Regions from separate parts of the Mus musculus genome. Here all the other regions are reported to be linked to region 1. The links are microRNA targets in miRTarBase. Many come from high-throughput screens and were not tested one by one. Region 1 holds a microRNA gene; each other region holds the end of a gene's coding sequence.

Evidence for each region. The annotated mature microRNA mmu-miR-210-3p reads CUGUGCGUGUGACAGCGGCUGA and lies in region 1 at 2,416-2,437, opposite strand. An mRNA with a match to its seed (bases 2 to 7 or 8) in the 3' UTR can be bound and repressed. Matches are read on the target gene's strand: a 7mer-m8 pairs with bases 2 to 8, a 7mer-A1 pairs with bases 2 to 7 and ends in A, and an 8mer does both.
Region 2: miRTarBase lists Mcidas as a target of mmu-miR-210-3p. Seed matches in the 3' UTR shown: 7mer-m8 at 1,019-1,025 and 7mer-m8 at 1,929-1,935.
Region 3: the mRNA of Slco2a1 is a reported target of mmu-miR-210-3p. Seed matches in the 3' UTR shown: 7mer-A1 at 3,400-3,406.
Region 4: the mRNA of Acot2 is a reported target of mmu-miR-210-3p. Seed matches in the 3' UTR shown: 7mer-m8 at 1,236-1,242.

Annotation. Positions count from the first base shown.
Region 1 is chr7:141,218,992-141,223,208 of GRCm38, forward strand. It overlaps Mir210 (microRNA 210), which reads right to left and starts at 2,502; the gene lies at 2,393-2,502.
Region 2 is chr13:112,998,425-113,002,424 of GRCm38, forward strand. Mcidas (multiciliate differentiation and DNA synthesis associated cell cycle protein) reads left to right here. Exons shown (of 7, transcript NM_001037914.3): 6 at 56-166; 7 at 326-1,970. The coding sequence ends at 760. Among named protein-coding and RNA genes, the nearest start is that of Mcidas, 6.6 kb to the left of the region's middle.
Region 3 is chr9:103,085,242-103,089,458 of GRCm38, reverse strand. It overlaps Slco2a1 (solute carrier organic anion transporter family, member 2a1), which reads right to left. Exons shown (of 14, transcript NM_033314.4): 14 at 1,194-3,700. The coding sequence ends at 3,580. Among named protein-coding and RNA genes, the nearest start is that of Rab6b, 25 kb to the left of the region's middle.
Region 4 is chr12:83,992,447-83,996,663 of GRCm38, forward strand. It overlaps Acot2 (acyl-CoA thioesterase 2), which reads left to right. Exons shown (of 3, transcript NM_134188.3): 3 at 56-1,431. The coding sequence ends at 634. Among named protein-coding and RNA genes, the nearest start is that of Acot2, 6.7 kb to the left of the region's middle.

The sequences.
Region 1 (4,217 bases):
GTGACTTCTGGGTTGGCTAGGCCCAGGGAATTTTCCCTAGAAAACTTTGTTAGCCCCAAGGTAGATATGGACATTGAAAGGGTAGGGCTGTCCCTCTCTTCTTAGGGTGAGTATGAAGCCTGACTGTTAGCCTCCAGGTTTGACATTGGGGCAAGGATGCTTCCACAGCCCGGCTCACTTCTACTCTGGCTCTTGAGCTGATACTGAACTCTTCCAAAACCTTGGTTACCCAGCAGGCCATATACTCCTAGGTCCTGGGGCTGGAGATTTTTGTGAGGATCAGAACCATCGGTGACAAGATGGGTACACCATAGATTATGAGTGTCTTTACACCGTATTGATGAGGACACTTGGGACCAGCTCAGCTTTCTCTCCAGCTGGCTCCTGAGCTAGGTTCAGTTGTTCCTCATTTCTTCTGGGTCAGACAGAAAGGGGATGTGAAAAGCCTGCAATGGAGGAGCAAGGAAGCCATCCATGTGAGTTCAAGAAAGCTGCTTAGTGGTTAGGGCCACCAGGAGCTCACTCCTGTGAGGCATAAGTAAGACCATATTTTCTTTCTTTCCTTTCCTTTTTCTCTGTGTGGCCCTGGCTATTCTGTAACTCACAGTATAGACCGGGCTGGATCCACCTGCCTCTACCTTCCTGGTGCTGGGTTAAAGGTGTGTACTGCCATTGCCCAGCAGACCATATTCTTGCCTAGAGCAGGAAACAGGGAAGGGGAGAGGCTAGGCCACAAAGGGAGGCTCCTGATCTGGTGTCAACAGGCCAGAATGCTCCTGTCTGCATTCCAGCCTGAGCCTGCTGTAGCCTAGACCTGCCTAACCTGTGGCCCCAGGCAGGCAGGGTCAAGCAAAAGGTCACACAGAATGGATCCTAGAGTGCAAAAGCCACTAGGAATGAATCCTTGGTGGAAATTCAGGGGTCTGAGGAACCCAATGCTACCCCCTCCTGAAGCCCTACCCACACTCCAGAGACTTGAATAGACTTCTTGGCACTGGTTCTAAGCCCATTATGGTTCCTCTCCCAAAACTAAGCACAGACTAGTAGATGCAGTACCCAGAGACCACCCCACCCAGGGAGCTAGGCAGGGCTAAGCTGTATCCTCCTCATTTGAGCCTGTCACGTTTCCTAGCAAACACACACCAGTGCTCCCTATGTCCTGAAAAGTGCTTGTTCCTCTGGAGGCCCCTGCCCAGGCTAGGCGTAGTCTGCAGGATGCTGTTCCCAGTGGCACTGAAGAATCTTCCAAGCCTTCCATAGTGGCCACTATGCTTTGAGGGGGAAAGGCTGACAGAGCTCTGCTCCTCTGTGGCTGTATTCAAGTGGACAGAATCCCATTCTCCAAACAGTTGCTAGACCGTTTTGAACCACCAAGCAAGCCTTTGAATTAATGAAAAGTTTACTTTGGAATTTTGTAACGACTTTGGAGACAACAGTGTGATGCTAAAGCAAAGAACAGACAAGCTGCCCACAAATGTCTGGTCCCTGGCAGGGCAAGACCTGGCTGAGTGATGTCAGGACCTTACCAGTTGTCAGTGTTGGGGTAGCCTTGTCTGGGCAATTCAGCCAGAGGTCAGGGCCAGGCTTTGCTAGGCCCCCACCTAGTCACAGTGGTCTTGTTCATTTCCAGCAGAGAAGTGGACATAAGAACCCTGGTTCAGAGGATCTCCCCACTAAGTAGCTTTCCAACAATAAGAGTCAGCTTCATAGTTTCTCAACCCAAGAGGCTGCATGACCCTCCCCATCTGCAGAGCACTCTGAGTTTAATACCAGTGCCAGTCTAGAAAGACCTGGACTAAGCCTGCCCCTCCATCTCCAGGGACTGGACTGGCTCTAGATGTCCTGGCCCTGTAGCCTATAGCTTCCCTGGATATCCTTTTCCACTTTTCCATGGACTTGAGAACACCTAGCAGGAGTGCCCTGGGGAAAAGGCCTGTCCCAGGAGCCCATCGAGAGATCCATGGTACTGAAAGTGGCAGAACCAGGCAGAAGCATTCAGCTGCCAATGTCTTCCTGGAGGTGGCCCTCAGGAGGTGGGTCCTGTAGGTTTTGGTCCTGTTGGCTGAAGTTCATACCTGTGCCTGCCCAGAGAGTCTCTGGGCTTGATGACTTTGACAGTGGCTCTTCTGGGGACTGCACAGCCTGGAACCCTAATACACCTAAGAAGAAAGTTCCCTCCAAGAGGGTATCTGGCCCAAGCTCTGACCCACAGGTGCAGGACAGAGAAGCCCCCAGCCCAACGTGTCTCAGCTGGGCTCCTACAAGCAGGCCTGTCTGTAGGTACAGTCTTCTAGTGACCTGCTACCACCCTGTCTATCTGAATCCAGGTGCCCTTCCTCCGCCCCAGAGTGGACCATTTGCCCGCCGCCCAGACTCTGGTCACAGGGCCAGGGGTTCGCGCTGCCCAGGGACAGATCAGCCGCTGTCACACGCACAGTGGGTCCGGAGCAACGCAGTGTGCGGTGGGCAGTGGCTGTCCTGAGCCTGGAGGGACTGCCCCGGCGGGTGGGCAAGTGGAGGGGGGTCCTCCTCTCCGCCCCCGCCCTCATCTCCTCTAACTTGGGCAACAGAGCCACTCCTCTCTTGTCCCGCCCAATACCCATATCCCCCTGAGAAAAGCAGCCTCGAAGGTGCTCCCCCATCCTCCAACCTTGTAACCCTTCTATTTCACCTGCGACCCCGGCGCAGGGCCATAGCCAGCTCTTGGATCAACTTCAGTGGCAGCAGTGGCCACACTCACACCCAAGGCGGGCCCCAATCGGGTTCAGTTACCCCGCCCCATATGCAAATAGTCTATCTTGCAGCCAATAGCCGGTCTAGTAAGGCCCACCCTGAAGGGCTGCAGCCAGTGAACACGAGGGGGAGGCATCACGCCCCGCCCGCCGCCGAGCAACCCTTCGCGGGCGAGGCCGGCGCGTTCCTTTCTGCACGTCGGCTTGGGGAGGGGCCGCCACCTGCTGGGCGGGGCTTTCAGGGAGGCCTCGCTGGACAGTGTCTCCCTGTGATTGGGCGTTGGTACAACCCAAGGCATGCCTTTTCCTCGATCGGTGGTATGGCCCGGGCTCTCTGCCTCTGGGCCTGGAGTTGGCACTGCTCCCTGGTAGTGAAGTGCTTCATTGGCCCAGAGCAATGAGACAGCTGGACAAGGCAGGCCCTTTGAGGCAAAGCAGCAGCAGCCCCGCCTCCCAGACAGATGTTTAGGCGGGCTGGTTATTCCCCCACTCAGTCGAAGGAAGGACTGCTCCCCTTCGGGAACTCATAACTCTCCAGGCACACGTAGTCCTGGCAGTGACCCAGGGATGGTCTGGAAGGCCAGGGACACCATGCCCTCGGGAGGCACGTACGCCCCTGCCTTTCTTCAGACCCAATAGATCCTCAAAGATGTGTGTCCATCTGGCTGTGAGAAGTGGGTTGTCTCTTACTTGCCTGGAGATCCTAGGGGTCTGGCCCTGGGGAATCCCTTATCTACAGTGAGATTTGTCTTTGCCCTGTAAGCGACCTACTCTGGAGGGAGAGTCCTGCCGAGCTCTGGGCTCTCAGAGGGCTTGCCCCAGTCTTTTGAAAAGTAGGCAAAAGTGCCAGCGTCAGTTATTGGACTCCTCGGAGGAGATCCAAAGCAATGGGATGGAGGTGCAGCCAGAAGAGACCTCCTTCCCTACACACCTCCCTCACCCCTGGTTGTTCCTTGGAGGAATCATGGGGCATATAGCTCATAACCACTCAACAAGATGCAGCAGCTGCTCTTTTGCTTCTGAGGCAGAGATCATCTTTTCTCTTTCCTGTCTACCTCAACCAGTCTTCCACACCATCCTCAGAGATAACCTTGCTCCAGGCAACTCCAAAGGCCACCTTTGTCCACCTCAGATACCCTGGTCCTTGGCTCAGGGTCCAGCCTCCTCAGCTCAGCCTCCTGCCCCTCAATCCCTCTCCCCTGCTTCTTTGACCTCCACATATCCTGAATCTTATAAAGTCTGGGCTGGAGCCAGCCAGCTGCCAAAAACTCAGCCTACGCAGCAAAGCACTAAGGCCCTAAGCCAAATCCATATGCAGAATGTTGGGCATTGTGGCCACATAGGGATGTAGCACAGAGAAGCCAGGCGCTGACTCGGTTTCTACAGAGGGTCAGAAATTGAAAAATCAAGCTGGAAGTCCTGATGGACGCTTGTTAAAACAACAGAGAGATTATACCCCTATAACCTTGAATAGAGGCAGGAACA
Region 2 (4,000 bases), not on the chromosome of region 1:
TCCTGAAGAGCAGACCCAGCACTGTGGCTTCTGCTTGATGCTGGATCTCCTGCAGCTGCACGTGACGCTGACGCAGAAGCAGGAGGAGATAGCCTCGCTCCGGGAGAGGAACGTGCAGCTGAAAGAACTCGCCAGCCGGACCCGGCACCTGGCCTCAGTGCTGGATGTAAGTGGACCGGCGCGCGGGACACGGTCGGAACTGTGACAGTGAGCTTGTGTTGGGGCCCCTGGGTGTCCCTCGAGTAGCGCGCACCTGACTCTTTTTTTTCCAGCGCGGCTCCAGGCGAGTCCCCCTGGCTCCAGGGCTCTCCCTCATCTTTCACAGAAGCTGATGATCACGCAGTCTCCTGCCGAGCCCTTCCAGATCAAGGCAACAACGAAAAGGAGCCTGGAGGAGCTGTTCTGTGCTGCGGGGCAAGCAGGGCAGGGTTGCGCGGAAGTGGACGCCATCCTCAGAGACATCTCCCAGCGCTGCGAGGAAGCCCTGCACAATCGTGACCCTAAGCGGCCCAGGCTGCAGCCAGAGCCAGACAGCAAGGACTGCAGCTCCAGGAACCTCCACGGCGCCTTCCGAGGACTGCGCACCGACTGCAGCGCCAGCTCGGTGAATCTGAGTCACAGTGAGCTGGAGGAAGGCGGCTCCTTCAGCACGCCCATCCGCAGCCACAGTACCATCCGCACCCTGGCTTTCCCCCAGGGCAAAGCCTTCACCATCCGGACAGTCACCGGTGGTTACAAATTCCGCTGGGTCCCCAGCTGATCTGGGATGTGGCTTCCCCTAAAATACTGCCCTGTGTAACAGCAGAGAGAAGCGTCTGCAAGCAAGTGGGCATAGCTAGAAATGTTTCCCACATCTGGTTCCCAGAATTCTCTGCAAGCAAACGCTACTCGGAAACTTTATTATATATTTTTTTTTTTTTTCAGAAACAGAAGTGTCTTGGTACCTGTGCAATGAAAAGTTCTGCTCCGAAGCCCCATATACTGCTTGCTTTTGCACGGTGAAATTGCGTGTATACACACGCACACCTGCGGCTAAGCACACGCCACAGTCAAACTTAGATGTATTTATTTTTTAGCGCTTTGTTTGTTTGAGGCAGGTCCAGGAGGCACATAGAGCAGCTGGACACAGACTTGCTATTATGATTGCTTCTGTTTCCTTCTGCTTCCATCTCCTGAGTGCTGGGTTAGAGGTGCTCACCGCCATATTTGACTGTTTTAGCCTTTTTGTAAGAAGAGAGAACAGTGCAAAGGAATGATGGGGGGTTCCACTAGAGAGGAATTATCCAATCACAGCCATTTAAAGGCTTGGGATTCAGAACCCCGGTATCTGGGTGTTTTGGCACATCACCCAATTCCCCTCTGTCCTCAGAGTACACCTACCTCCTAGCTGTGTTAACTACTGGAAAATGCTATTTCAGTTGGAAAAAACAAAAACAAACAAAAAACCACCACCACCAAAACTCCGGAAACAACTTGGCAGTTGTGGAGCAAGCTCACACAAGGATGCAGTGGTCATCCCAGCACTTGGGAGGCAGAGGCAGGCGGATCTCTGAGTTCCAGGCCAGCCTGGTCTACAGAGTGAGTTCCAGGACAGCCAAAGCTATGCAGAGAAACCCTGTCTTAAATAGCAAAGAAACAAAACCAAGCAAAGCTACACAATTAGGCAAATGCTGATGCAGGATAGGTGCTAAACACAGTTGTTTGAAATAATCATCCTATGATTTTGTAAGAGTTGGTTTGCGTGCTTGCTGCTTTTGGAGAGGGCTTGGACTTCAGAACCCAGCCAGCATCCATATCAATGGCTCAAATGGGAAAGAAACTCCAGTCCTGGGGTGGGGGTGTGGTTATCTGACATCATCCTCTTCTGGTTTCTGTGGGCATCTGTATACTCCGGAGCTACACACACACACACACACACACACACACACACGCACAGGCACAGTCACATAAGTAAAATTCTTTACAAAAGGATTTATGGTAATGTCTCAATGTATTCAGCTTTATCAGTGCAAACAGAACCACCTCCAAACCAACTTAGTTAAGAAGAAAGGCTGGTTGTTTTAAGCAAGTGGTCTGTACTCCGCAAACTGGGGGCCCCTCACCATATTTCACATTACATGACTAGTTCTTGTAAGCAAAATGTAGTGACCTTCCCTCAATTTTTCTCTCCCTATTGTTTGTGGTTCTCTTCCCACCCCACACTCTGTTCTGAAATCACACAAATGGAGGACGTCCTGTGCGATTTCTCTCAACCTCCACATGCTCGTTCTGAGGGTTCTTCCTGCTCCTGGGGCTGGGCTGGGCAGGCCTCCAGATGTACTGCACCACAGTGCATAGCTGGCTCTTCAGGCTGAGTGCACAGATCAGGTAGCAGGTGGGTTGGTTAAGGCAGCAAGACCTGCTCCTCCAGTTTGCCGTGTGTACTGTTATCTGTACTTAAATAGCCATTTCGAAACAAAAAAAATTGATAAAATAGACCATGTTTCCTCATATTTTGCCTAACAAATGGACTGAAAACGTGGGTTGTTCAGCTCCCCCCCCCCCATAGGCTCAAATATGCAGTTAGCACAGGTCAAGATCAAACAAAACAAGCTTCAAAATAAAAAACAAATCCTTTTAAATCTGTCACAACGAACAATGGCTCTCCTGCTCTCTGATACTCGTAATGCATTACCTTCAGTGGCCATAAACTACAGACAGTGTATGTAAGTTTCTTTTATGCCCTGTGCGTAGATTTTAAATAATCACCTTGCTATCACCTTTCACTTTACAGTTCTATAACTGCCATGCTAGTGGCCAGCAGCTCCATTTCCTGCTATTTTAAAAAGTACATATTTTATTTGTTTTTAGAAATTGATATTTATACAATGTATTTTTTATCAAATTCACTTCCTATTCCTCCCTAACTCCACTGAGATCCACCCCCACTCCTTACCCCATTTTAACTCTGTCTTCCTCCTCCTCTTCTATAAAACCCATCAAGTCCAATTATCTTTCATTCTTGTGGGAAAAAAAAGCTCTCTTTGGAACAATTGGCACCAGGGACCAACTTATCATCAGTTAACAGTAGAATCTAGAAACTAGTCTTCTAACATATTTATTGAAAACTGATGGCAATCTCTTTATCTCACATTCTAAGAAAACAATCAAAGAGCAGAATATGTAATTTCTTTTCTAGGCAGAGATACATATGTGACAAACAATTCAAGTGCTGGCAAGGACATGAAAAAGGACAAGGGGGTGGTCTCAGCTCAGGCTGCAGTACAGGATAGGCGGGGAGCACGAGCAACAAATGTTTCTGTTTTATTTTGTTAGATTGTTTTTTTTTAAGATTTATTTATTACTATATCTAAGTACACTATAGCTCTCTTCAGACACATCAGAAGAGGGCATCAGGTCTCATTACGGATGGTTGTGAGCCATCATGTGGTTGCTGGGATTTGAACTCAGGACCTTAGAAAGAGCAGTCAGTGCTCTTAACCGCTGAGCCATCTAAACAGATATTTCACAGTTCTGGGTCTGAAAGTTCAAGATCAAGGTGGTTCCACAGGCTCCCTTTCTTGGTTTGAAGATCATCATTTGCTCACTGGAAAGATCACAGGGCTGCGAGAGTTCCAGTCTTTTCCTAGAAGAGCTCTAACCCCACTACTGATGTTACACCACACCGCTCCCTCCTCCCAATCTCCAAATACAATCACACTGGGAACTAAGACTTACTTAAACATAGGAATTTGGGGGAGGCCTAGGTATTGAGTCCACAGCAGATGGCGATTTGGGGAAGACTGGGATGGTGCTATTTTAGATGAGGTGGTCTGGTCATAAAAGATTCCTCTAATAAGGTAATATTGGAGGGCTTCTGTTATGGATCAGTCTGTACAGTGTTTGTCTGGCAAGCTTGGTTGGGGTCAGCGATTTGGTTCCCAGATCTGCCATCAAATCGTAACAAGAGACAACTTCAGCAGAGACCGGAGTAAGCTTGCGAGTGAACGGTATGCATATC
Region 3 (4,217 bases), not on the chromosome of region 1:
ATTTTCATTTTCTTCCTTCCTTTTTTTTCTTTCTTTCTCTCTCTCTCTTTCTCTCTCTTTCTTTCTTTCTTTCCTTCCTCCTTCCCTCCCTCCCTCCCTTCTTTCTCTCTCTCTCTCTCTCTCTCTCTCTTTCTTTCTTTCTCTTTTTTTAAGACAAGGTCTCAATATGTAGCCCTGGCTGTCCTGGAACTCATCATGTAGATCAGGCTGGTCTCGAACTCTCACACACCCAGTTGCCTCTGCCTCCCAAGTACGGGGATTAAAGGCATGCTCCACATGCCTAGGATTCTACATTTTCAGACATACTAGTGTGGCTCCCATCATAGGCTGGGACGAGGGTCCTGCCAGAGGCTTTGGACTCAAGGACACTTGGTAGATATCGCTCCCTTCCAAAGGATGGCAAACCCTTTATTTCCTGTTTCTTTGGTTTCTTCTTTGTGAGGCTGGATGGTGCATTTCCTAGGTTGGGTGGGGCAGCAGAGAATGATAGCTCTGGCTGTGCCCAGGAATGGAACTCTGTCCCCGAGCCAGACTCTACAGGGTTCCTAAGCTCCACAGAGAAGCAAGGAGAAGAGATCAAAGACCTACTATGACCTTCTTACATATAAAGGCACCTTTGGTGGTTAATCCTTACGGTCAATTTGCCTGGATTTGGCTCTATGCATGGGTGACCCACATCACACAGGGCTCAGGGGTTACCTTCATCTTCCTGGAAGGTGGAATTTCAGGACTCCTTTTACAGTCACAGAAAGGGGCCTCAGGCTTTGGGAAGGGTGTTCCTGCATTTTTTGTTTCTTTTGTTTTTCAAGACAGGGCTCTCTGTGTAGCCTGGCTCTCTGTGTAGCCCTGGCTGTCCTGGAACTCACTCTGTAGACCAGGCTGGCCTCGAACTCAGAAATCCACCTGCCTCTGCCTCCCAAGGGCTGGGATTAAAGATGTGCACCACCACTGCTCGGCTGTGTTCCTGCATTTTAAAAAGATGTATGAGTACTCTATCTGCATGTACACCTGCACACCAGAAGAGGGCATCAGATCCCATTACAGATGGCTGTGAGCCACCATGTGGTTGCTGGGAATTGAACTCAAGACTTCTGGAAGAGCAGCCAGTGCTCTTAACCACTGAGCCATCTCTCCAGCCCAGGTGTTCCTGTATTTTAACAGCAATCTTGAGCATGATACACTCATGGAAGTCTGTGACAATTTGCTCTTTAATTGGAAAAAAAAAAGTGAGATCTTTAAAGCCCCTCTGGCATTTGAGAGGCAAGATTTGCTGAATAGTAGTAAATGATCAATTATGACTGTGATATTCATGGCTATAGTGTTTGTGACTGAGCCCACTTCTGGATATGAACTCAAGGACGGTGACTGGGCCTCCCAAGAGCATGAGTCTTTGACATTGGTCTGCACAGAAAGCACAAGGCCCCACACAGCAACCAGCAATGCCTGGGACCTGCTCAGCACCAGGCAGGTGGCTTGAGAGTAACATGGTCTCTAACACCCTTGGCTACAGGCCTCTAAAGTTTAAAGCATGGCTACTTCTTTGTCTAGAAGGCACAAATTCTGTCTGTTCTCTGATAGACCCAGGACAGCACAAATTTACAACCAACTTACACCCAGAACAGAATTATAATATATTAATAGCAATATAATAGAATAAAGACTTGTGGGGACAGCTGATCTTCCGGGAACGGAAGGTTGACGTTCATTGTTTGCGAGATTGGTGGAAGGCTATGCCTTCAGAATCTGGTTAAACTGCAGTGAGTAAGCCCAGGGTTAGTTGCAGAGAATCAGGTTCCAAGCAGAACCGTTCCACATGCTGAAACTGGCCCGTGAGGTTGTGTGGAGCCTCCTCCTTAATAAGATCTGTGGAAATGAGCCCGGTGGCTTCAGAAAGAACACTGCCAGTAACAAAGGCTCCCTGAAGGCTTCAGTCTCACAGGACCTTTGCCACGCCGACATAAACCATTTGGCTTCTCACCATATAAGGCATTTCTGAAAGGCACTTAAATGTCACATAGGGCAATGTCAATTGCCTAGCTGCTTCGGGGACACGGTGAGCCAGATCTCCAGCTCAGGCACACAGTCAACCTGCTGGAGCCTCAGGGTGTGCATGGGCAGTCAGACCAGGATCTTTTCCGCCAGCCTTTTTGGTTCTGGATATGCTTGGCAAGTGTGTGAGCATGTTCTTGCTGCCCACCGAGCGCTCTCTGGGAGCAATCCCAATGCGAATGGAGGTAAGGTTTTCCAGGGGAGCTCTCAGAGAACCATACAGCATCCCTGACAAACACCAAGCCAGTTCTCTGATAAACAGAATCGTTGAGAAAAGGCCTCATTCCTGGGCCTCTGCCTTTGCCTCTCCACTGCATGGCAGTGGTGGCCCCCAGCCCAGGCCCACAGAAGGAGCCCACCTCCACATCCAGAGAGGTAGTGAGGAAAAGCTGAGAAAATGCCAACGAAGACAATGTGTTTGCAAGCGAGTCAACCCGGCTACTCTCTTTGTGGGCTGCAACTTGCCATCTGGCACAGTGACAGGTGGCATCCACTCTGCTCCATTCCTTGGTCTGACTGCATCTCAGGATCACACCCCCCATTCACCGCCTTTACTCCTCTGCACATGAGCTGAAGTCCAGACAGCAAAGCCCATGTGAGGTCACTCTTTTGTTTCCGGGGCATGGTAAAGATGGCTATTTGCGTCTCTGAAGGGGGAAAGACCTTGTCTCTACTGTGAGGGTGGGAGACTGGGTCCTCCTTACATGGGCTCCTTACATGGGCTTTGTTGGTTTGAAAGGCAGAAGGAAGCACATGCTGACCTGAGGGTAGGCCTCAGGTTCCTAGGAACAGTGCTTGGATGACCTAGCCTTGCTGGTTCCTTCGTTCCTGCTCTGACACCAGGGAGTAGTATACAGAGAGGGTTATACTTCCCAAAGTGGTGGTTTCCAAATCAGCCTTGAGGGCAGAAAGTGGGAAAGGAAAGGGAGATAGGTCCCTCCTGGGTTCCATGCTAGACTGAAGCCAGATGCAAAGCGGCCACAGCCAAGCTCCCTTAGCCCAGTGGTAGCTGCTAAGAAACAACCACCTGCTGCTCCCCTGCCTCTCTGTTGGGTGTGGGCAGAGACAGAGGAGCTGGGCTGCCTGGCACGGAAGTCAAGGCTCCCATTTCTCCCACCACTGAAGTGTTCCTGAGAGACTGGTGAGAACAGAGGCTGCCTTAGTACGGACAGTGGAAGACCCAGGGCTGAGGAGAGGATCCCTTCCAAGGACTCTGAGAAACTAGACCCTTCAGTCCAGCGCTCATTCAGCTCAGGACCCTTCAGGCCCTAAGAACCATGCGGGAGACTTTAGGAGGAAGAGGCCGGTGAGACAAGGGGTGAGTGAACTAACTCTCTCTCTCTCTCTCTTTTGTGCGCGCACTGGCGCATGTGTGTGTATGTGTGTATGTGTGTGTGTGTGTGTGTGCGCAAGAGAGAGGGAGAGAGAGAGGGAAGGAGGAGGAAGGCATGCTAACATTAGTTAATATAGGTAGGTGTGGAGGGGTAGGATATCCAGTCTCTGGGGCAGGGCAGTAGTCCCAGCTGAAGGTCAGATGAGGCCCGAGGCATTCTCCTGCAGACTGTATTCCCTGTTCTTCTTCACCCTCCAGCTGATGAAGAAGAGCAGCAGTGTGCCCAAGACCTTGTAGATTACCTGTAGGCCCAGGTACCTATGAGGCAGGAAGAGACAGGTATGGTGAGGCCCAGGGGCAGCGGGAAGATGATCTTTGTTTTCACAGTTCACTAGAAGCTGTGAAGATCGTTACTCAGGTGACGAGCTGTCACTTCTCAGGTGGTCACTGTGGAGAGACACATGACGCTAGTGATCCTCTGCTCTCCTGTGACATCACTGATGGCCAGAGGTGACACTACTGTCCCAGCTGTCTCCAGAGGGTCTGTATCTTTCAGCTGCCTCTCTGCTGGCCTTCTCTAACCTGGCCTTTTCTATCCGTCCTCAGTATTTCTAGCCCCTGCAGGCCCACCTTCTCCACCATTTCTAGATGATGGAACGGCAGCAACAGAAGAGATGGCTGCATTTGGCTCACAGGCATAGGTTGGACTCCTGCTTCTTTGGACCTCTCCTGGGCGCCGTGCTGTGTTCCCCATTCTCTGAGCAGTGGAGAGTGACTGGTATCTTTTCCATATTCGAAATCTCTCTCAGGCTCCAGGTACACCTTTAACTTTGGT
Region 4 (4,217 bases), not on the chromosome of region 1:
CTGCTCAATACTGTTCCTGGACTAAATCTCCATTTTTCATTTGTTTCTTTCTCAGGTAAAAGGACCTGGAATTGGGCTGCTTGGGATTTCCAAAGGGGGTGAACTTGGCCTTGCTATGGCCTCCTTCCTGAAGGGCATCACAGCTGCTGTGGTCATCAATGGCTCCGTGGCTGCTGTTGGGAACACCATCTCCTACAAGGATGAGACTATACCCCCTGTGTCCCTTCTGAGAAACCAAGTCAAAATGACCAAAGATGGTCTCTTGGATGTCGTGGAAGCTCTGCAAAGCCCTCTGGTAGACAAGAAGAGCTTCATTCCCGTGGAAAGGTCTGACACGACCTTCCTGTTCCTCGTAGGTCAGGACGACCACAACTGGAAGAGCGAGTTCTATGCTGATGAGATCTCCAAACGCCTGCAGGCGCACGGGAAGGAGAAGCCCCAGATCATCTGCTACCCAGCAGCAGGGCATTACATCGAGCCCCCTTACTTCCCGCTGTGCAGCGCTGGCATGCACCTCCTGGTGGGTGCCAACATCACCTTTGGAGGGGAGCCCAGGGCTCATGCCGTGGCCCAGGTGGACGCATGGCAGCAGCTCCAGACTTTCTTCCACAAACAGTTGGGTAGCAAGAGTTAGGGACTGTCCTCTAAAATATAACCTATTAGTTGATGGTTTGGGGGAAACCTCATATATATTATCACAATGTCAGTTCAGGTTAGTTCATTTGAACATATTCTAATTTTTTAAAGTTTCTTTCTTTTTTCTTTTTTCTTTTTCTTTTTTTCTTTTCTTTTTTTTTTTTTTTTTTTTTTTTGAGACAGGGTTTCTCTGTGTACCCTTGGCCGAGACCAGGCTGGGCCTGAATTCAGAGATCGGCCTGCCTCTGCCTCCCAAGTGCTGGGAGTAAAGCCACGCCCAGCTTATGTTTTTTCTCAATATAATAAGTGCCTATGAAGGACTGAGGATATATAGAGCTTGGTGGTAATGCATTCGTCTTTCTTCCATAGTGCCCAGAATTCATTCCCCAGTGCCGTAAGACGACAAAGAAATTAAAACTTTCTTATAAAAATGTGCCTGTGGACCTGGTGAGATGGCTCCGTGGTAAAGGTGCTTTCTGCCAAGCCTGACAACTTAAGATTTTTTTCCCCCAGGGTCTACATGGTAGAAGGAGAGAACAAACTCTGACAAGTTGTCCTCTGACACACACAAGTGCTTGTGCGCGTGTGCGTACGCGCGCACGCACACACACACACACACACACACACACACACACACACACACGCGCACACACACACCACATGTGTAATTTTAAAATGTGCCTATCCAAAAAAAAAAAAAAAAAAAAAACAGAATTCTTTTATGTCATGAATTAAGGGGGAACCTTAAGTGTAAATATTCTTATTAAAATAAAAACTAGCTCATTATAGACAAAACTATGTTGTCCTTCCTTCAATTCTTGGGCCAGTGTTCCCACTCTTGTCATCCTTCCAGAAGTGGCTTTTGGGTGACTGTTCAGATACTTAACACACGTCTAGCAGCAGCGAAGAAGAGAAGGGGTTTTGTTTGTTTGGGTTTTTTTTTTTTTTTTATGCACACATCCAACAAGAACATCAATTTTACAAAGCAAACCAATGTTGGGAAGAGAACCTCTTGGTGTTTTGAGCTCTGTCATGGTGACATGAGGGGAGGATGAACATTTAGTCCAGGAGGCAGCAGAGCAGCTGGGGAAGGAAACAGAAGCCAGGAATCCCATGTGTGCCAACCTTCAGACCTGTCTTCGAGGCAGGGAAGAGGATGTGTGTGAGCAAACGCTCTCATTCCCGCACATTTAGGCCACAGCCACCTGCCAGTCAGAGAGTGGTCAGCACAGGAGGAGGGATTTCTTTACCCATTGCTAGGCTCATGCTTGATCCCCTATAACACAAGACAGGCAGTAAAGAGACGGCTATAGAACCCGAGTCAGAGTTATTATTTTTCATCACATGTGTGTCCGTGTGTGTCTGTGCAGGTGCCCACAGAGGCCACATGATTTCAGTTCCCCTGGAGTTGGAGTTACAGGTGGTTATGAGCTACCTAATATGGGTGCTAGGAACCAAACTCTGGTCCTCTGTGAGAGCTCGTAAGTGCTGAACCTTCTCTGCAGCCTCTGAACCATGTTTAATTAAACCATGTTTAATAAAAGGGTTGCATGAGCTGATTCAGTGGGAAATGGGACTGGCTACCAAGCCTGACAAATGAGTTCAATCCCTGGACCCCACCTGGTGGAAGGAGAGGACTGATTCCAGCAACTCGTCCTCTGACCTTCACACGGGCACCATGGCACACGCCTGCCCCCCAGTATACAGATGAATCATTTTTAAAAATTCAAACTGTTGCCAGGCGTGGTGGTGCACACCTTTAATCCCAGCACTCGGGAGGCAGAGGCAGGTGGATTTCTGAGTTCGAGGCCAGCCTGGTCTACAAAGTGAGTTTCAGGACAGCCAGGGCTACACAGAGAAACCCTGTCTCGAAAAACCAAACCAAACCAAACCAAACCAAACCAAACCAAACCAAACCAAACCAAATCAAAAACAAAAACAAAAACAAAACAAAACAAAAACCAACAATAACAAAAATCAAACTGTTGCATGGCATGAGAGCCTTCAGAAACTAAGACCCAGGTCTGGGGGGTGGGCAGAGGTGGCTCAGTTAAGAGCACAGTAAGCATGAGCCAGAGATCAAGGCAGATTCCTCTAATAAGCCTGAAAGTCATCAGGCTTTCTGCTTCGGGGTCCTGCCCTGAGTGCCTGCTCAGTGCTGGACTGTGTCCTGGAAGTGTTAGCCTTTTGCGTCCCACTCGACGGGCAAGAAAGACGCAACAAACCGGAATCTTCCACAGCAAAAGCTTTATTGCTTGCTTCTTCAGGAAGACCCCAAACCGGGAAAATGGCGCCGTTTTTATAGCCTGCAGCGTGACATTTCAGCACCTGATATGGCGTGACAGCTCCTGATTCGTTGCTCGCCCATCACCCCACTATTACACCTCGAGAATAGGAGTGACTAGGAGTGAGTTCACTCTCGCACCTGCGTACAAGGCTTGTTTACTAGTTAGGCACAGCGGAGGCCAGCGCCATCTTATAATGGTGATTGCTCTCGGCACGGCTCTCCACAGCGATTACTGGCGGCACGCACCTCGTGGCACGGCTCTCCACATTAGCCAAATAAACCCTTTCCTCCCTAAGTGCTTTTTGGTCATAGCATCTGTCACAGTGACAAAACTCAAACATTAGGTGGCAGAAGCTGGGAAGGTTAGCAGGGGAGGACAGTAGGACTGGCTGGTTATGGGTACAGTGGAAGTCTAGATTCTTGGGTTCTGTAGCACAGTATCTATCGCACAGATCGATTTTTGTTGTTGTTGCTGGAGATAATATTTTTGTTATTTTATGTGTTTTGCCTGCACATATGTCTGTGCACCACCTGCATGTCTGGTACCTGTGAAGGGCAGAAAGGGCATTGGATTCCCCTGGAACTTGACTTACAGATGATTATAAACTGCAATGTGGTTGCTGGGAATTGAACTCTGATCCTCTGGGAGAGCAGCCACTGTATTTAATCACTGAGTCATCTCTATAGACCTGGTGCTGGAGATCAAACCCAGTACGAGCAAAGCATAGAATCTACCATTATACCCTTATGGTGGTTTGAATAAGAGTGGCCCCATAGGCTCATAAATTTGAATGCTTAGTCATCAGAGTGGCACTACTTGAGAAGGATTAGGAGGTGTGGCCTTCTTGAAGTAGGTGGTCTTATTAAAGGAATAATGTCACTGGGGGTGAGCTTTGAAGTTCCAAAAGCCCAAGCCAGGCCCAGTGTCTCCTCTCTTCTTCTGCTGCTTACAGATCCAAGTGTAGAACTCTCAGCTATTTCTCCAGCACCCTGCCTGTGTGAGGTCGTGCCTCCTGCCATGATGATAATGGACTACGCCTCTGGAACTATAAGTATGCGCCAATTAAACGTGCTCTTTTATAAGAATTGCTGTGGTCATGCTGCCTTTTTACAATAACAGAACACTGACTAATACAACCCCCAAACTCCATAGTGTATTTCAAAACAGGAAGGATTTGAATATTTTCTTTTTCTTTCCTTTTTTGTGTGTGTGTGTGTGTGTGTGAGAAAGGTTCTACATTTTATTGCTGTTCAAACCACACCCCCAATTTAAACATAACTAAGTCCCCGGGTT